Linked DNA regions of Pelodiscus sinensis. The protein of the gene in region 1 purifies or fractionates together with the protein of each later gene. This does not show direct contact. Links are inferred from orthologs where the notes say so. Each region holds a gene or a part of one and is shown in the gene's direction. Other genes may lie near its edges.

What was found.
Region 2: the proteins of NUDCD1 (region 1) and DHX15 purify together in Homo sapiens (co-immunoprecipitation; 3 studies listed by BioGRID and IntAct, with this or other methods). This does not show direct contact. The link is inferred for Pelodiscus sinensis from reciprocal best matches to the Homo sapiens genes NUDCD1 and DHX15.

The regions. Positions count from the first base shown.
Region 1 is NC_134712.1:29,337,477-29,345,770, forward strand, and holds the start of NUDCD1 (nudC domain-containing protein 1), read left to right. Parts: upstream 1-4,575; 5' UTR 4,576-4,664; coding exon 4,665-4,899; intron 4,900-8,294.
Region 2 is NC_134715.1:102,245,494-102,253,777, forward strand, and holds the start of DHX15 (ATP-dependent RNA helicase DHX15), read left to right. Parts: upstream 1-5,022; 5' UTR 5,023-5,226; coding exon 5,227-5,297; intron 5,298-8,284.

The DNA.
Region 1 (8,294 bases):
TTAAGAACAAACCTATAGTCCCTATGTTGTACGTAACCCAGGGACTGCCTGTACAGTAAAACTCTGATGGTCTGGGATCTGTTGGTCCGGCACTCCTGATGGTCTGGCACCATCAGGAACCCGGAAGTGCTCCAGGCAGCCGGACCATTGGAGCTGCTATGCCCCCAGCTTCCCCGATTCAGCTGCTGCTAAAACTGACCAGCGGCTGACTCCAGGAAGCCCGAGGCAGAGCTGCTCTGCCCCAGGCTTCCTGGAATCAGCCCCGATCAGTTTCAGCGGCGGCTGACTTGGGTACACCTGGGACAGAGCAGCTGGGGTGCTGCCTGGTTGGTCTCGCAGCGCCACGGGTTGGCGCTACCAGCCGCTGTTGAAACGGACCAGCAGCTGACTCCAGGAAGCCATGGGCAGAGCAGCTCTGCCTCAGGCTTCCTGGAGTCAGCCGCTGATCAGTATCAGCAGCGGCTGACTTGGGGACACCTGGGGCAGAGAAGCTGGGGTGCTGCCGGGTTGGTCCAGTAGCGCCGAGGAGTGGCGCTGCGGGACCAACCCAGCAGCACCCCAGCTGCTCTGCCCCAGGCGTCCCCAATTCAGCTGCTGCTGAAACTGACCAGCAGCGGCTGAATCAGGGACGCCTGGGGCAGAGCCAGACTATTGGAAGGGGGGGCTATGAGGGGTTTGAGGTGGCATTCCCCCCACCCCAGAACCCTTATAGTCCCCCCTTCCGATAGTCCGGCAAAACTAATAATCCGGCACCCTCTGGGTCCTAAAGGTGCCGTATTATCGGAAGTTTACTGTATTCACTGCTGATGACTCAGTCAAACTGTATACAATAATCTTTGCTTCCTGAATAACTAGTGTTTTCTGCACTTTCATCTTCATTTCAGAAAACTGGTAAAAAGAGAAAAACTCACAGCTCTTAAAGTTGTGTGCAGTAGTATTGTAGCCATGTTAGTCTCAAGATATTTTAGTCTATGGGTGGGCAAGATACTATCTTTTGTTGGATCTACTTCTGTTGGTGAGAAAAATCTACTGAACTTAGGCTGTGTCTACACTTTTCAAAGTGCAGCCACACCAGCGTTTTGAACTAAAAGTGTGGCCACAGAAGGAGCATTCTCCTAAGGCACATCTAGAGTACATCCCTCTGTTGGCAGACCAGAAAAGCTCAAAGTAAGCTCAAAAGTCCCTGGAAAAATCATGGAGGGGATCCTCAAGGAATCCATTTTGAGGCACTTGGAAGAGGGGAAGGTGATCAAAAATGGTCAGTGTGGATTCATGAAGGGCAAGTTGTGCCTGACCAACCAGAATGGCTTCTATGATGAGATAACTGGCTCTGGGGAGATGGGGAAGTCAGTGGATGTGATATACCTTGACTTTAGCAAGGCTTTTGATACGCTCTCCCACAATATTCTTGCCAGCAAGTTAAGAGAATGTGGATTGGCTAAATGGACAGTAAGATGGATAGAAAGCTGGCTGGAAGGTTGGGCCCAGCGGGTAGTGATCAATGGCTCGATGTCAGGATGGCGGTCAGTTTCTAGTGGAGTGCCCTAAGGTTCGGTTCTGGGACCAGTTTTGTTCAACATCTTTATTAATAACCTGGATGAGGGGATGGATTGCACCCTAGGCAAGTTTGAGGATTACACTAAGCTAGGGGGAGAGGTAGATACACTTGAGGACAGAGATAGAGTCCAGAGTGACTTAGACAAATTGGAGGATTGGGCCACAAGAAATCTGATGAGGTTCAACAAGGACAAGTGTAGAGTCCTGCACTTGGGACGGAAGAATTCCAGCACTGTTACAAGCTGGGGATCAACTGGCTAAGTCGCAGTTCTGTAGAAAAGGACCTGGGGATTACAGAGGATGAGAAGCTGGACATGAATCAACAGTGTACCCTTATAGCCAAGAAGGCTAATGGCATAGTAGATTGCATTAAGAGGAGCATTGCCAGTCGATCCAGAGATGTGATTATTCCTCTTTACTTGGCTCTGGTGAGGTCACGTCTGGAGTATTGTATCACATCTGGAGTATCCAGTTCTGGGCCCCCAATTGCAGGAAGGATGTGGATGCACTGGAGGTTCCAGTGGAGGGCAACCAAAATGATTAGGTGGCTGGAGCATATGACCTATGAGGAGAGGTTGAGGGAGTTGGGTCTATTTAGTCTGCAGAAGAGAAGAGTGAGGGAGGATTTGATAGCATCCTTCAACTTCCTGAAGGGAGGTTCCAAAGAGGCTGGAGAAAGGATGTTCACAGTAGTGATGGATGGCAGAACAAGGAACAATGGTCTGAAGTTGCAGTGGGAGAGGTCCAAGTTGGATATTAGGAAAAACTATTTCACTAGGAGGGTGGCGAAGCACTGGAATAGGTTACCTAGGGAAATAGTGGAGTCTCCATTCTTTGGCTATGTGTACACTGGCGGGTTCTTGTGCAAGAACATCATCCACACTTCCACGTGCGTGCTGTGCTTTTGCGCAAGAGCTCCCATGGCAGTGTGGACGCTCTCTTGCGCAAGAAAGCTCTGATGGCCATTTTAGCCATAGGGATTTCTTGCGCAAGAAATCCCTGCCAAGCGTCCACACTGCCCTCTTGTGCAAGAGCTCCTGCGCAAGAGGGCTTACACCTGATAAAAAAGAGCATAACTCTTGTGCAAGGAGCCCTCTCTTACCATGCCATACTGTAAATTTCCTTGCTCAAGAGCGGGCGGGCAGTGTGGACGCTCTGCAGATTCTTGCGCAACAACGGCCGTACTTGCGCAAGAAGCCAAAGCCACGAGCGTAGACATAGCCCTAGAGTTTTTTAAGTCTCGGCTGGGTTGATGTAATTGGGATTGGTCCTGACTTGGGCAGGGGGCTGTACTTGATGGCCTTCTAAGGTCTCTTCCAGCTCTATGGTTCTATGATTCTATGAAAAGCTTGTCTCCATCACCAACAGAAGACGGCCTAGTACAAGTACAATCTCAGAGTTATGAACACCTCAGGAATAGAGCTATTTGTAATTTTGAACATTATATTTGTTCTTTCGAAAGTTTACAACTGAACATTGACTTAACACAGCTTTGAAACGTCACTATTCAGAAGACAAATGCTGCTTTTAGCCATCTTAATTTAAATCAAACAAGAACAGAAAAAGTACTCTTACATTTTCAGTTTTTAAAACTGCCTGTTTTAGTAGTTTAACACCAGGGGTGGGGAACCTCAGGGCTGGATGCAGCCCTCAGCGTGCCTAGATCCAGCCCCTGAGGATCATTCCCCCACCCCCGCCCAGCATTGGGGAACCCATACTGGTACTCCAGCCCCCACTGGTACTCCACAAAATCTACTAGGCTAGGCCCCCACCAGGCTCTGGTGTGTGAATGGAATGTGGGGAGTGTCTTCTCCTCAGTTGGGGGCCACAGTGAAGGTTCCCCCCCACACACTTCTCACTTGGGTATCCCCCCCAACAGAAAACTGATTTTTCTGTGGGTCATTGGCCCCGACCTAAAAAAGGTTCCCCACACCTGATTTAACACTGTACTGCATTTCCTTTTTTTTTTTTTTGGGGGGGGGGGCGGTAATCTGTTGCTGCCTGACACGTCAGTCCATAACTGTGGTTCTAATGTAAAAGATACTATCTCATCCACCTTGTCTCCCTACAGTTCTTAAATTCATGGCTGTAATTAGATTACGCCAGATATTTTGATGAAGCTATGTAGAAGTTTTTGCTGCCTGTGTTAATTTAGTAGTTTAATGTTGATAAAAGGATCAACACAACTGACTCGAGCCACTTCACATCTATCACCTAACCTGGAGATCTGGTACTTCAGCCCAGACTTGATTGAGGAACGGCTGCTCACTGCCCTGAACTACAGAGTGGTGCAAGTCCAGGCTCAGATAAGAGACTGGGGGGGGGCAAACAAATCCGGCCACGCTTGCGTCAGTCACACCGAGCGGCTGCCTCTCTCCTCCCCGTGTAATGGAGCCACAGCCCGGCAAAGCGGGGCTGATACGATAACGTCGCAGGCGCTGCATTTCAGGAAACGTTTTTAACCAGAGGCCCCCGCAACCCGTCGAGCCTCTGCCGGAGCAAGGGCGCAATTCCACCGCAGCCCGCCCGCCCGAATGGAACTCCTCAGCCAGCGAGCCCACCCCGGCCTGCTCTCAGCCCCCCCCCCCCACCGGGCAATAACCAGCCCCGCTCCGCCAGCCTAGTGACCACGCCCCCTTCCCCGGCCTGGGAGACCGGCCTGAGGAGCGCCCGGCCCGCCAGGGCAGCATGGGGCCACACCACGGGGGAGCTCGGGCCTGGGCCCAGAGCCGGGAATGGGGGCGGGGATTTCAAGCCGAGTCCCGCGGCTCCCCGCCCGCCCCTGACCCCTCCTGGAGAGAGCAACTCCGGACCCCCGGACTCACCCCCGCGGCGGCGCGCTCAGCTCTGTAGGAGAAGAAAGCGACGCAGTCTCCCAGGGAGAATCCAGCACGGCCAAGCCCCTGCCCGCCTCTTCGCGCAGGGAACCCTGGGAAATGGAGTGCACGACGCGCTTTCCCTCGCTCGGTTTAAAAACTACAACGCCCAGCATGCTTCACGATCGGGGCGCTAGGCGGCTCGCTCTCCGTGCGGCATACAACTCCCAACATGCTCGGCGACTGGCCCGAGCAGCCCCTCGCGGCCAGAGCCCTAAAACTACCATTCCCATGGTGCTCCGCGGACTGCACGCTAGTTACCTTCTCCAGTGGCTTCTCCCTGCTTCCTCACAGCCTCCTTCCAAACTTTTCGCCGTTAGGCGGCAACTCCCGGCGCGAGCGACGGCGATGGAAGCGGCGGCCAACTGCTCCCTGCGGGTGAACCGGCAGCTCTTGGATCCCAAGTTCGAGGGCTACAAGCTGTCCCTGGAGCCGCTGGCCTGCTACCAACTGGGGCTGGACTCGGGTGAGGGGCGCTGCGGAAACGTGGCGGCGGGGCAGCAGCGTTTGGGGGGCGCGCGGGAAGGGTTTGTTCGGGCTCCTGGGGGGGGGGGGGGAGGCTGCTTGTGGCCGGGGAGCCCCGGGGCGGCAGGTTTGTGGGTGCTGCCAGGGCCAGGTCGCTAGTGTTTGCTTGGCTGAAGCCTCTCCGCCGCGGGTTGCTTTGCTATGTCCCGGCTGCTGGCCTCCGGGCAGAGGCGGCTGCCCATCCCAGTGGGGTAAAATTATTCAAGCCCCAGGTGCCTGGCAGGCTGTGGTTGTGCTCCCCTACAGGGCTGGGTAAATATTCTCCGGATCATTGGGAAACAACATTCCCTCCCCTGCCGTGCAAGGCCAAGCCTGACTGGTAACTGTTCCAGGTTTTGGTGCATTCTGGTCTACACTAGGGATAAGTTCAGATTAAGATTTGCAACTCGCGCTAGGTCAATTGCTTCGCAGGAGTTGACTTATCTTAATACGAGCTTTGGCTCTGTCCACATAGTGGGAGGTCACCGAGAGAAATGCTTCTCTCGACTTGCCTTACTCCTCACAGGAGCACCCTTAGCGTTCAAGTTAGCCAGTCTTTACTAGGTTTGCTAAATCGAATGCCAGAAGATCACTCTCCTGAGCCTTAATTAATGGGTAAGTATAGACAAGGCCCTGGAGCCATGTGTGCAGTATGGGCTAAGAATGTGTAAATTTAACCATGTAAACAGTTAACCAGTAACTCTGGATTTATCAGTTAATATTCACACGTGCATGCAGACTCCTGTGGTAGCTGGCTCCGCAGGAGTGGGGCTGCAGGTGGGAGCTGGTGTGCCTTGGGAGGCGTCTTAAGCTGACTCCCAGCACACACCACCTGCCAGGGAGCTGACTGTCACCCCACATGTAACCGTGTAACCATTTTTTTAGCAGTTACATAGTTAATTAAATGCATTTTAACATTTCTAATACAGACAGAGGTTGCCTTTGTCAGTCTGGGCTGGGATCCTTGACTGATATATGTGAGCAGCAGACTCTAGTGTAGGCCTGCGCTTTCTCCAGAGTCCCTGTAAGTCTTCAAGAAAAACTTTTGAGTGGTTTTGAGGGTTTTATATTTTAGCATTGGATCTTTAAAATATTTAATTAACGCATAGTTGTCGTTTTAACACGCCTCACTCTCCTCATACACCTTCATCAGTAATATAGTGATGTCCTTGTAGGTGAGCCTTCAATTCCATCTTTTATGTCGACCTCTTTTTAATAGGTGTCCTGATGAATTTCAAGCCTGCAGATTTTTCTGGTTTTTGGAAAGGCAGAGCAGCCCATTTTCTTCCTTCCCATTCTGAGACTTTTCCCAAACTCTCGTGGGTAGAAGTTTTACTCTAGTGTCTGTCGTTGTAGCCTAAGGCCAGGTCTACTCTAAACCCGGCAACTCAACTTAAGGTACGCAACTCTAGCTACATAGAATATGCTCCCATTAGCTTCTCTTGCGCCTTGCAAAAGGAGGAGTGCCAGTGGGGCACTTTAGTTAAGACTTGCTAAATCGAACTCCGGAAGATGGATCGTGGCAGTGACAATCTTCCTTTTAGTGTAGACAAATCCTGAAAAATGTATGAACAGCCATAGGTGAAATTTACATGTTCTTTATTAGTTTCAAAGCTGCTCAGGGAACAGAAGCTCTGAAACTGGCTTTGGGGCCTTTTCACTCTTGCTTCTTGGGAAAATTACAAGAAACAGCAGAGATACGGGAATTGCCTGTATGCAGACCATAGTATTGCTAACCATAAGTGTTTATAACTCATAAGCTACAGCTCAAAGTAACAAGGTTAGCTTAAAAATTCATGAGATGTAAAACAATGGGGGTTCTTTTGATTAGCCTTTTAGTTTTTTGTGCCTTTAGAGTGCACATTTTAAAGCTTTGTCTTTGCAGCTGTTAGAGATATCCTTTCTCCTTTTTCAAAATGAAAACTGAGATTTTCATGTAAAGTTGATATAAGATGGAGCTTTAAGAAAAACATTGGATGTTATGGGAGTTGGGATCAAATCATAAAAATTAGCATCCCTGCACTCTCCAAGAGGTGACTACACCCAGTTTTGATGACACAAACTTCTTCTGTGGAGGTGGAAGTTTTTATCTTCCCTTCCCTTTATTGTCAACCAGTCATGTAGTGTATGCTACAATAGGTTTTTTGTTGAGTTTATTGACCTCTAGCATGTTTTCCTCAGTGACCAATTAGCCACTGTGGCCAGTACTTTGAACTCTGCTGCTCTGCAGCCAGATAAACAGATGCATCCCTCCCAACTGCAAATCCTGGGAATTAAAAAAAAATCTATTTCCTGGTGTCTGGCTCGTTGTATAGTGGTCCTCATGGCATCTTCTCAGTGAGCCAGTGGTGGGTAGTGATAGAAATGTAGCCGTGTTAGTCTGGGGTAGTTGAAGCAAAATGCAGGACAATGTAGCACTTTAAAGACTAACAAGATGGTTTATTAGATGATGAGCTTTCGTGGGCCAGACCCACTTCCTCAGATCAAATAGTGGAAGAAAGTAGTCACAACCATATATACCAAAGGATACAATTAAAAAAAATGAACAAATATGAAAAGGACAAATCACATTGCAGAACAGGAGGGGGATGCGGGGGGGGGGGGGAAGGAAGGAAGGTAAGTGTCTGTGAATTGATGATATTAGAGGTAGGGGTGGGTGTCACTCAAACATTCCCCTGCTTGGAGCAATGCAGAGCTTTTGGATCTTATCAGTGTGTGAGGTGAAGAATCAGTGCAGGCACAGCTATGAGTGACTTGTAGGAACTGGGACATACACAGTCATATTTCTTGAACCATATATGAGAAGAGGTTTGAGTGAGACATACTACACTGCGGAGCCAAGATAAAGGTACTCTGGCAGGCATACCAGAAGGCAAAGGAGGCAAATAGCCGGTCTGGTGCTGCATGTGCAACATGGTGTTTTTATGAAGAACTAGGTGCAATCCTGGATGGGGACCCCATAACCACACCCAAGGAGAGTGTGGATACCTTCCATAGACCAGAAACAAAAACACTTGTCCCAGAGACAGAAATTATTGATGAACAGCTGGAAGTGGATGAAGGGGTTAGGATTAGTCCACTGACAACCAGTGCGCCAGGCAACGAGGAATTGTTCTCAAGTCCCGATATTTGTGAGGATTCTCAGCAGCTGTACGTGGAGTAACAGAAGAGAGACAGAGCCACGAAGCAGAGGAAGAGAGGCAGGCTACATTGCTGTGCGGGCAGGGGTGGGAGGGAGGGTAGTCTGGTTGGTGGCCATGTGGGGTGTTAAGTTGCTCTAGTGTGGCTGGAGGTGGAGGGCTGGCAGCATGACGTGATAAGTAGAGATGTGAATGGATAACCACTTATCTGGTAACA
Region 2 (8,284 bases), on another chromosome or scaffold:
AGTTCACACTTTCCCAAGGTGTAAAGAACATTCAGTTAGCCTCTCTTTACCCTAGATTTCTATAAAAACTTACCAGTAAGAGTATGTAAATGCAATGGTTCATTTTCACTGCAATAATACATTGAACTTGCATGTGTTTCCCATTCAAGAATCTCAAAGTACTTTACAAATATTTTTCTTTGCAAGACCTCTCTAAGGTAGCTTTTCAGTTACGCATAGGTTTTAAGGTACTGGGCACTACAATTGATAAGGAAGATTGCTTCAGCTTCCAGTTTCCAGTGCAGTGAAACTTTATAACAATATTTGTTCCATTGTCACTATGTGGAGAATAGATAGGGTATTTAAAAAGCAAAAATACTTTATTTTAAAATGTCACCTCTAATTTTACCTTTTGGTTTTTTGTTTGCATTTAAATACTTTTTTGCAACCCAAACATAATAGCATCACCTTAATATAAAAGGGAAAAAAAGTGAAAATGAAGTGGGCTAAAAATTAAGTAAAATGAACATGATACTGACTAGTAAATCTTTGTTAGTAGAATGAGATGGAAAGTATAAAGAAAAAAACAGTGCAACAAAGCATACATTTTCCTTCAGTTTCACTACTCTTTAGATTTTTACTAATACAGATTAAGAAAGAAGAAATGGTGAAACAAATCATTTGTATTCCTTCAGTTTCAGTAAACTATGTATTTTATTAATACAGATGCACGTAGAAAAAAGTTTAAAAAGACTTTCTCAGCTAACAACTTATTTTAGAAAGATCAATATTATGATGAAAGATTGTGCGTCAGTTGCCTAAAATGCCTTATATCACTTTAAATTAAAAGTTTGCAGAAAAGCCTAAGGAAGGAGTTTAAAAATCAAAGAAATTATAATTGAATTAATTGAATATAAAATGAATGGTGGTAGTGTGATAGCATACCTTTTTGGTATGCTAATAATTAGTTTTGAAATAATGCTTTAAGTAAATAGAAATTAATAACAGAAAATCCAGTTAATGGCATATACAGGCATAATAGCAGGAAGTAGGGGTGGGGTGGGGTGCTGCAGCATCCCCAGGTTTTGTGCCTGATGACCCTGTTGCCACCCCCACACCACTGCTGCCCAGGGTCCTGTCCACCAGGTCCACTGCTGTCCAGAAGCTCCACTGCCACCCTCAAGACCACCTCAACTGCTGTTCCCAGGGGTTCCACTGCCAGCCCTGCATGCAGAGTGGTGAGTGGCGCAGAAAGGAGTAAGAGGAGGGGGAACTCAGCACCTCTACTCCAAAAACTGTATCAGTGTCACTGCCTAAGGGTGCTGTAATATAGTGGGAGATTTCATTTCTAAAAGACATAGGGATCCATTGTTTATGATGTAATAATTCACTTCCTGTGATGTAATGGTAAATTCAACTTTCTCAAGGGAATGACAGGAAGTAGCTCAAGTCATCAATAGAACAGCTAGAAAAACCCCATAAGAATATATGGAAAACCGTAGAAATGTATAAGGATGATGCAAATGGGTGACAAGATTGCATCATTATCAGGTGATGCAATCAAGGCACACTATTGCATCACTTCCTGTGGGGCTGGCTCAGCAAAATCTCATAGAGCAGAACAGTGCTGTACACCTGTCAGAAGATGATTACATAAAAGAAACCAACTAAGAAGCAACATCAGAACCCTGCAAAGAAAGAGTTGCTTGCAAAAAACAACTACTACAAAAGCAGTAGCAGCAATTTGCACCGGACAATGGCTGCTTCTACCACCCAGTCAGCAGAAGGCCCTCATAGTATCCACCAGTGCAGCAACCAAGCAGGCTTCTGTATCTGCTACCAGATAGGCTGATTTACCAGAGGAGCAGACAGGCACCCAATAAAGAGACAACTGCAGAGATTACAGCAGTCTGCAGCCATTGGACAATGCTCTCAAAGTTTGTGACAGAACAGAAGGACCTTTAAATTGTCTCAGAAGGAATCTTAAAAATCCTCTGTAAGATAAAAGCGTTGTCCATTTAACATCCTAAAGCATATGGCCTTCGTTTGTAAATAAAGTGACTGTGGTTTGAGTAAGATCTTTTCCTGTCCATATAATAAATTCCAGGCCAGCACTGACTTGACACTTAGTTTTAATGTTGAATATTTAATTCATATATTGTTACATTGTTATAAGGTAGAGAGCATTAAGTGAAGGTTTATATTGTTGTAAGTTATAGGAGTGAAAGTTTCAGAGGGGCAGCTGAGTTAGTCTTTAACAGGAAATCTTAAAAAACAATGACAAGTCTAGTAGCATCTTAAAGACCAAAAAAGATGACACCTGAAGAAGTGGGTTGTGCCCACAAAAACTCATGATACCATCTACATGTTTCGTTAGAATTGAAAGTGTTATTGTAGCGTGTCTTTATTTGCTGTGCGGCTTCATTCACTTTTTAACTGTAACCCTATTATCTATATCTCTACTCTTATGCTGTAACCACTCATTTCTAAATAAATATTATTCTTGTTTATGATATTCTTCATCAGAATGCTGTATCCATATCCTTGCAAGGGACTGGCTTTTCCTGGAAATTCTTTTAGGGCAGACCACAACCATAATTACTGGAATAGATAAATTAAGGATAAAAGGTTTTTAATTAAAAGCAGTGGTTTTAGGCAAGCTCATTGACTTAATATAATTGGTTTCAAATCTTTTGATAACAGTATGATACTGTGTTCCATTTTGTGCATATGTACAACAAAACGTCTGAGCTCAGCAGTAGAGGTTGTTCATAACTCTGAACAAAACATGATGGTTATTCTTTCAAAAGTTCACAACTGGACTTTGACTTAATACACTTTGAAATTTTACTATGCACAAGAAAAATGCTGCTTTCCCTTTTTTGAATAGCTTACATTTAATACAGTACTGTACTGTATTTGCATTGTGTGTGTGTTTGTCTGATTGCATCCTTCTTGTTCCAAATGAGGTGTGTTATTGACTAGTCAATTTGTAACTCTGGTGTTCCTAACTCCGTGGTTCTGTATTGCATCTCCCAGAGTTGTGGCAAGATGCTTCTCATTGGTCAGTTTTGTCCCATTGTTACTTTGTGCTCCCCCATCTGATTGCTCTTGCTACCTGTTGTTTTTCACCTTATATTTAGACATTGATCCTGGAGACACTAATGAATGTACTCCGCTTTACCATTCTGAGTAGTCCATTTGGATTACTTGCAGATGCACAGGTTTGCAGAATCAAGGAATTAGATAGTAAACTGTTTGGACTGGGACTGCATATTTATTATTTGTTTATTTAGTGCATAGCACAATGGGGTTGGGATATTTAAGTGCTACCACAATGTAAATAAATAATGATAATGCTAAAATGGCCTTTACCAGGTCAAAATTTGGAATAGAGCCATGCCCATATAAGGCTACATTACCATGATTCACGAAATAGATATCCCAATGCTGTGTATAAGTTTAAAGTATTGCCTCAATACTCATTCCTGCCTAGCCACTACAAAGCTCAAAATCCAGTCTCTCCAAATTAAAGCCTAACAGATCTTTGGGACTGCCAAATAAAAAGATGTCTATTATTTGTATTACAGTAGAACCTGGACTTCTGCCCAACTGAGATATGGGTCTGGCTGTTTTACATACTGTAGAAACTGAGAATGTAAAATCCTATTTAATTGGTTAACCGGTTAAATGTGATGTTTAACAGGTTAACTGATTAAAGGAGGAAAGGTTGGGAGGCTGAGACTGGGCTGGAGCAGCCCCTCCCCATCATTGCAGGCTTCAGCCCAGCCAGAGTAGCCCCTGCCTGCAATGCACCCGGGCCCCACTGTGCACAGGAGCTGCTTTGGGCAGCCAGAGCAGCCCTTGTCTTCAAGCGTGCCCTATGGGGCTGTAGCAGCCACCCGCCTGAGGTGAGCGGAGCTTCTTCAGCCCCCACGCATTAACCGGAACCAATAAATCTTTCATATCCCTCATAGATACATGTAGAAGACAATTCCTGTCCTGAAGAACTTATGCTCCAAGGACTTGTCTACTGGAAAAAGTTGTACCAGTACAGTTATGTTGGTATAACTTCCTGTTTGGACATTCTTATTCTGAAAATAAGAGGGCTTTTTGTTTTTGTTTAGCTTAAACAAAAACACGTTATGAGTGTCTGCATGGGAAGTTATAGCTGTATAGTAATAGTGGTTTAAAGTCAAACCATAACTTATGTAGATATTACTTGTTAAAGTCTTAAATAGATGAGACAAGACAACTAATCACAAGAAAGTGGCAGAACCAGGAACTGAATTCTGATCTCACAAGTTTGTCAGTTCCCTTCTGAAACCACCATCCTTCTGGAAGGATTTGTCTTTGTTTTAGGGGGCCTTATAAGATATATTTGTGTTCCTAACTTTTGGGATATGTCTTACTGATACTTTACACTGGGGTAGGTTCTGATGTCTGTCCTGCTCTGACATCAGTTGAAACACTGTGTGTGCACAAACGTACAGTTGCGCTGAGCTAGTGTTGCTGAAGGGCAGGTAGTTATGGCCCCAATCCTACAAAGATTTAAAGTTCCATCATGTGTACAGTTATGATGGACACAGGTAACAAGTCCATTGCGTTAGGTCTTTATGGAGCCAGGCTAAGTCAGCCATTACAGCAAGTCAAAAAGCCATGTCACCAAAGCAATGACACTGAAACAACACAGTCTACTGGAAGGCGCTAAAAGCATGGGGCAACCGAGATGCGTCCCAGGCCTAGTTGTGCTCTTCTAAGCAATCTGCCTGCACCTGGACAGGCTATAGGTGGGCGAGCCATAGTCTCAATCTGGTTCCAACTCAGAGCACCACCTCTCTGGGGTGAGGGGAACTGCTCCTGCTACGGCCCAGGGCAGTGCCCGGGCTGTCCCATCTACAGCACTAGCTCTTTCCGCCTCCGCCCACACCCCCTTTTCCCGCTGGCACCGCCTCACGTTGTGACTCCGGCCCTCTCCCTGGGTGGCAATAGAATTCTAGGGGGCGATCCGCTGGCCGGACCGAGGCGCGCGGGGGAAGGTTCCCAGCCGGGCTCGGCGTGGCTGCACCGCCTCCCCCTCTTCGAAGTGGCTCGCTCAGTGTCTCGCGCGGATCGAGGCTTCCTTCCGGCCGCCATTTTAGTTGCTGTTCTTGGCCTCGCGGCGCTGCCGCCGCTGCTGCTCGAGGAGCGGAGAGCGCGGAGCCGTAGCACCCATCCGCGCCCGGAGTCCCCGCCGCCGCCGGCACCATGTCCAAGCGCCACCGCCTAGACCTGGGGGACGACTACACCTCCAGCAAGAAGCGCGCTACGGCTGACGGGTGAGGGGCGCCGGGGCTAGGGCCCGGGCCTGGCCGCGCGGCCTGGGGGCGGGGGCTGGTCTCTCTCCCTCTTGGAGCGGTTCCTGCCTAATCCGCTTTGTGCCTCGGCGGCAGACTCGCTCCCTGCAGTGCTGGGCCTGGCCGAGGCGCGGGGGGGGGACCGGACCGGCGGGGCTCGGAGCCGGCCGGGCGCGGCACGCAGGCCCCATGGCGAAAGCGCTAGGCAGGCGCGTCTCCTCGTCGCGCTTGTGGGGGGAGGGGCGGCCCAAGAGCCCGGCGGCTTCCTACAGTCTTGGGAGGCTCCGTCCGTCCCGTTTAAAAGCCGGGAGTCCCGGTGCGGGGCGGGGGACGTGGTGGAGGCAGCGGGTACCGGGCGAGCTGCGTGAGAGTGGCAGGGAACCGGCCCCTGTGCCTTTCCGCGCAGGAATCGGAAATCTTGCCGGGGTAGGCTCCGATTAGCAGCCGAGATGTGCCGTGTGTCCGTGCAGTTGGGAACCCCATCGGTTACCCGACTCCTCGGGTCACTGAGCTCCCGCCGCGGCCCCGCATCCCGGGCGAGAATAGTCCCGTGAACCCGACTCCCAGTGCAGCGCTGAGCAGGGACCAGTATTTCTAGTGTTTTTTTTAAAATTCTGACAAGGCCTGAACCAGATCATAGTGTTCGGCCCTACGCCGACCGTCTTCCTTCAGTAAATTAGAGTGATCTCCGCAACTTCTGACTACAGCTTTTCAAGTTGCTGTTTACAGATAACGGTTACGATTGTTGAAGTTGGCGGGGGTGGGGTGAAGGGGGACGGCAAAGGTATTCTTTTGTGTGTGTTCTCTGTCCGCCTCTACATGCATTTTATGCCTAGTGAGTTTCATTGTTCCCCGTGTTATCAATCACTCCTTTGTGTGAGTTTTTCTAGAGGTGGACAGAAAGAGTGGGAAAGCATTTATAAACATAATCTTAAAATCACAAACGCAGGAAGCAATGGTGGGCGACCTAGGGGTGAATTTAATTACTTCTAAATTTATTTTTGTTTTTAACTTGCACTGAAAATTGATGGGGGAGGGGGGCTATGGATATTGAACAACAAAAAATTGAGGGTAATTAAATTAGTTTACCTTTGGGTTGAAGCATTTACATTCTGAAATCAAAAATATAATTCTAAAGATTTTTCTTGTTGGAGTGTGGACAACAGTTAAAGTTAAATGGAATGATTGAAAATGACCACATATTCATGGGAATTGCTGTGCTAGTTCAAATCATTGGTCTGTCTAATCCAGTATTCCATCTGTGAAAGTTAATAATGAAAGCTTCAGAGACAGAGGCAAGAAATGTCAAAGTAAACGTTTACAGAATAGTGCCTTTTCCTTTAGGGAAAATTTCATCCTAGTCGATGTCCATTGGTGACTGGTACATGCTTTAAAGCATGAGGGCTCCTGGTCTTTATTTACGAAAAAAATTACCCTATCTCATGCTGCTGTATGTGGTCTCATTAATAAGTCTGATCCTAGGAGTAGGCTTATTGAAAGCGTTTCATTGTCAAGGGATGTTCTTCTTTCAAACTCTCCCTCCAATCAAATATCTATTTTTAAGTCCTAGCCACTTCTGCAGCATCCCAATGGACTTCCCTTCCCCACAACTGAATACATTGCTTCTAACCCTGAAAACAAATGTCTTTTGAGTTGTAACTAAGTAACTAGGTAGTGTGAAGACATAAGAAGACATCAGTTTCTGTAAAATGTAAGCTTTCATTTAAAATTAGGTTTTAAGCTTTTTTTATATTATGCTCTTATATAAGTACACAGGCTTCAGTCACATAACTCTCATTATGATGGTGTTGGTCAAAAGGATAGCATGAAACAGGTGGTGGATAAAAGAGTTATAATCCAAGGCCCTGAGGCATCTTCTAAAAGCTCATTTTAGGTTTAGTGCATGAATTAAGATAAAATGGAACTAATTTTTGAAACAAACAACCAGAGGCACTAGAGAGGGAGAGTGAGGGTAACGATGACACAAAGTATTGTAGATTTTAGATCTCTTCTAAAAGACAAATTAAACAACATATTAATGGTGTCAGAGATTCTTGCTGGTCACCTCGGGAATCATACAATTAATGGAGGATTAAGATATAGTAAATTAGAGCTTTTGTGGGCCTTTTCTCATAAGAACAAGGATTATTGGCCTTTGCCTGGTTGCACAGCTACTTTTAAAAACAATCTTCATCCTAGAATGTGCAAAAAATAAAGCTACTACATGCTAACTTAAGCTGGTTATAAAAAAAATACAGTGGTACAGGTAGACACTCCTGTACCTAGTCATCTATTTTGTTAAAGGGAGGAATGGCCAGCAGCAGTCTGAGATGCATATAAGATGCTGTGGGGGAAAGTAATTGACCACAAACTCTCTTCAGGAACTCTGCATATTCTTGCAATTCTCCTGAATAATATGAGGCAGCCTGGTACACTGTATGAAGAGTTTGTGTTGCCCCCCAAATTTAAAGGGAGAATAGAAGTGTTCCTGAAGATATGAGTTGGCCTTTCACTTTTAGGTGAGAATATTAGGATTATTTTTGTTGCACCATTTGAAATTTGCAAATTGAAATTCAAAGTAATATGAAGTAGAGGGAATCTTCAGCTTGCAAGTCAAAAAGTCACTAATTATTCTTGGCTTTTTACATATGTAAGTATAACAATTGTTGTTGTAGTTGCTATGTCTGACCACTGAACTGTTTTGAGGCAATTTTATTTGTATCAACAGCATATTGTGGAAATTCCAGAGACGAAGATGAGGGCACTTCTAGTTGAAACAAAGATTTGTAAAAGGCACAGTTTCTATTTAAAGTGTTTTAATTAAATACCTTATTTATAGCTTTTCTGATAAATTAATAAATTACCTCTTTTGCAGCAAGAGACAGTGCTGTTACCTTGAGGTACTAAACTATGTACTGGTACAGTAAATATTTTCTAGGAACAAGTATAGTACATCCAACTATAGTTAA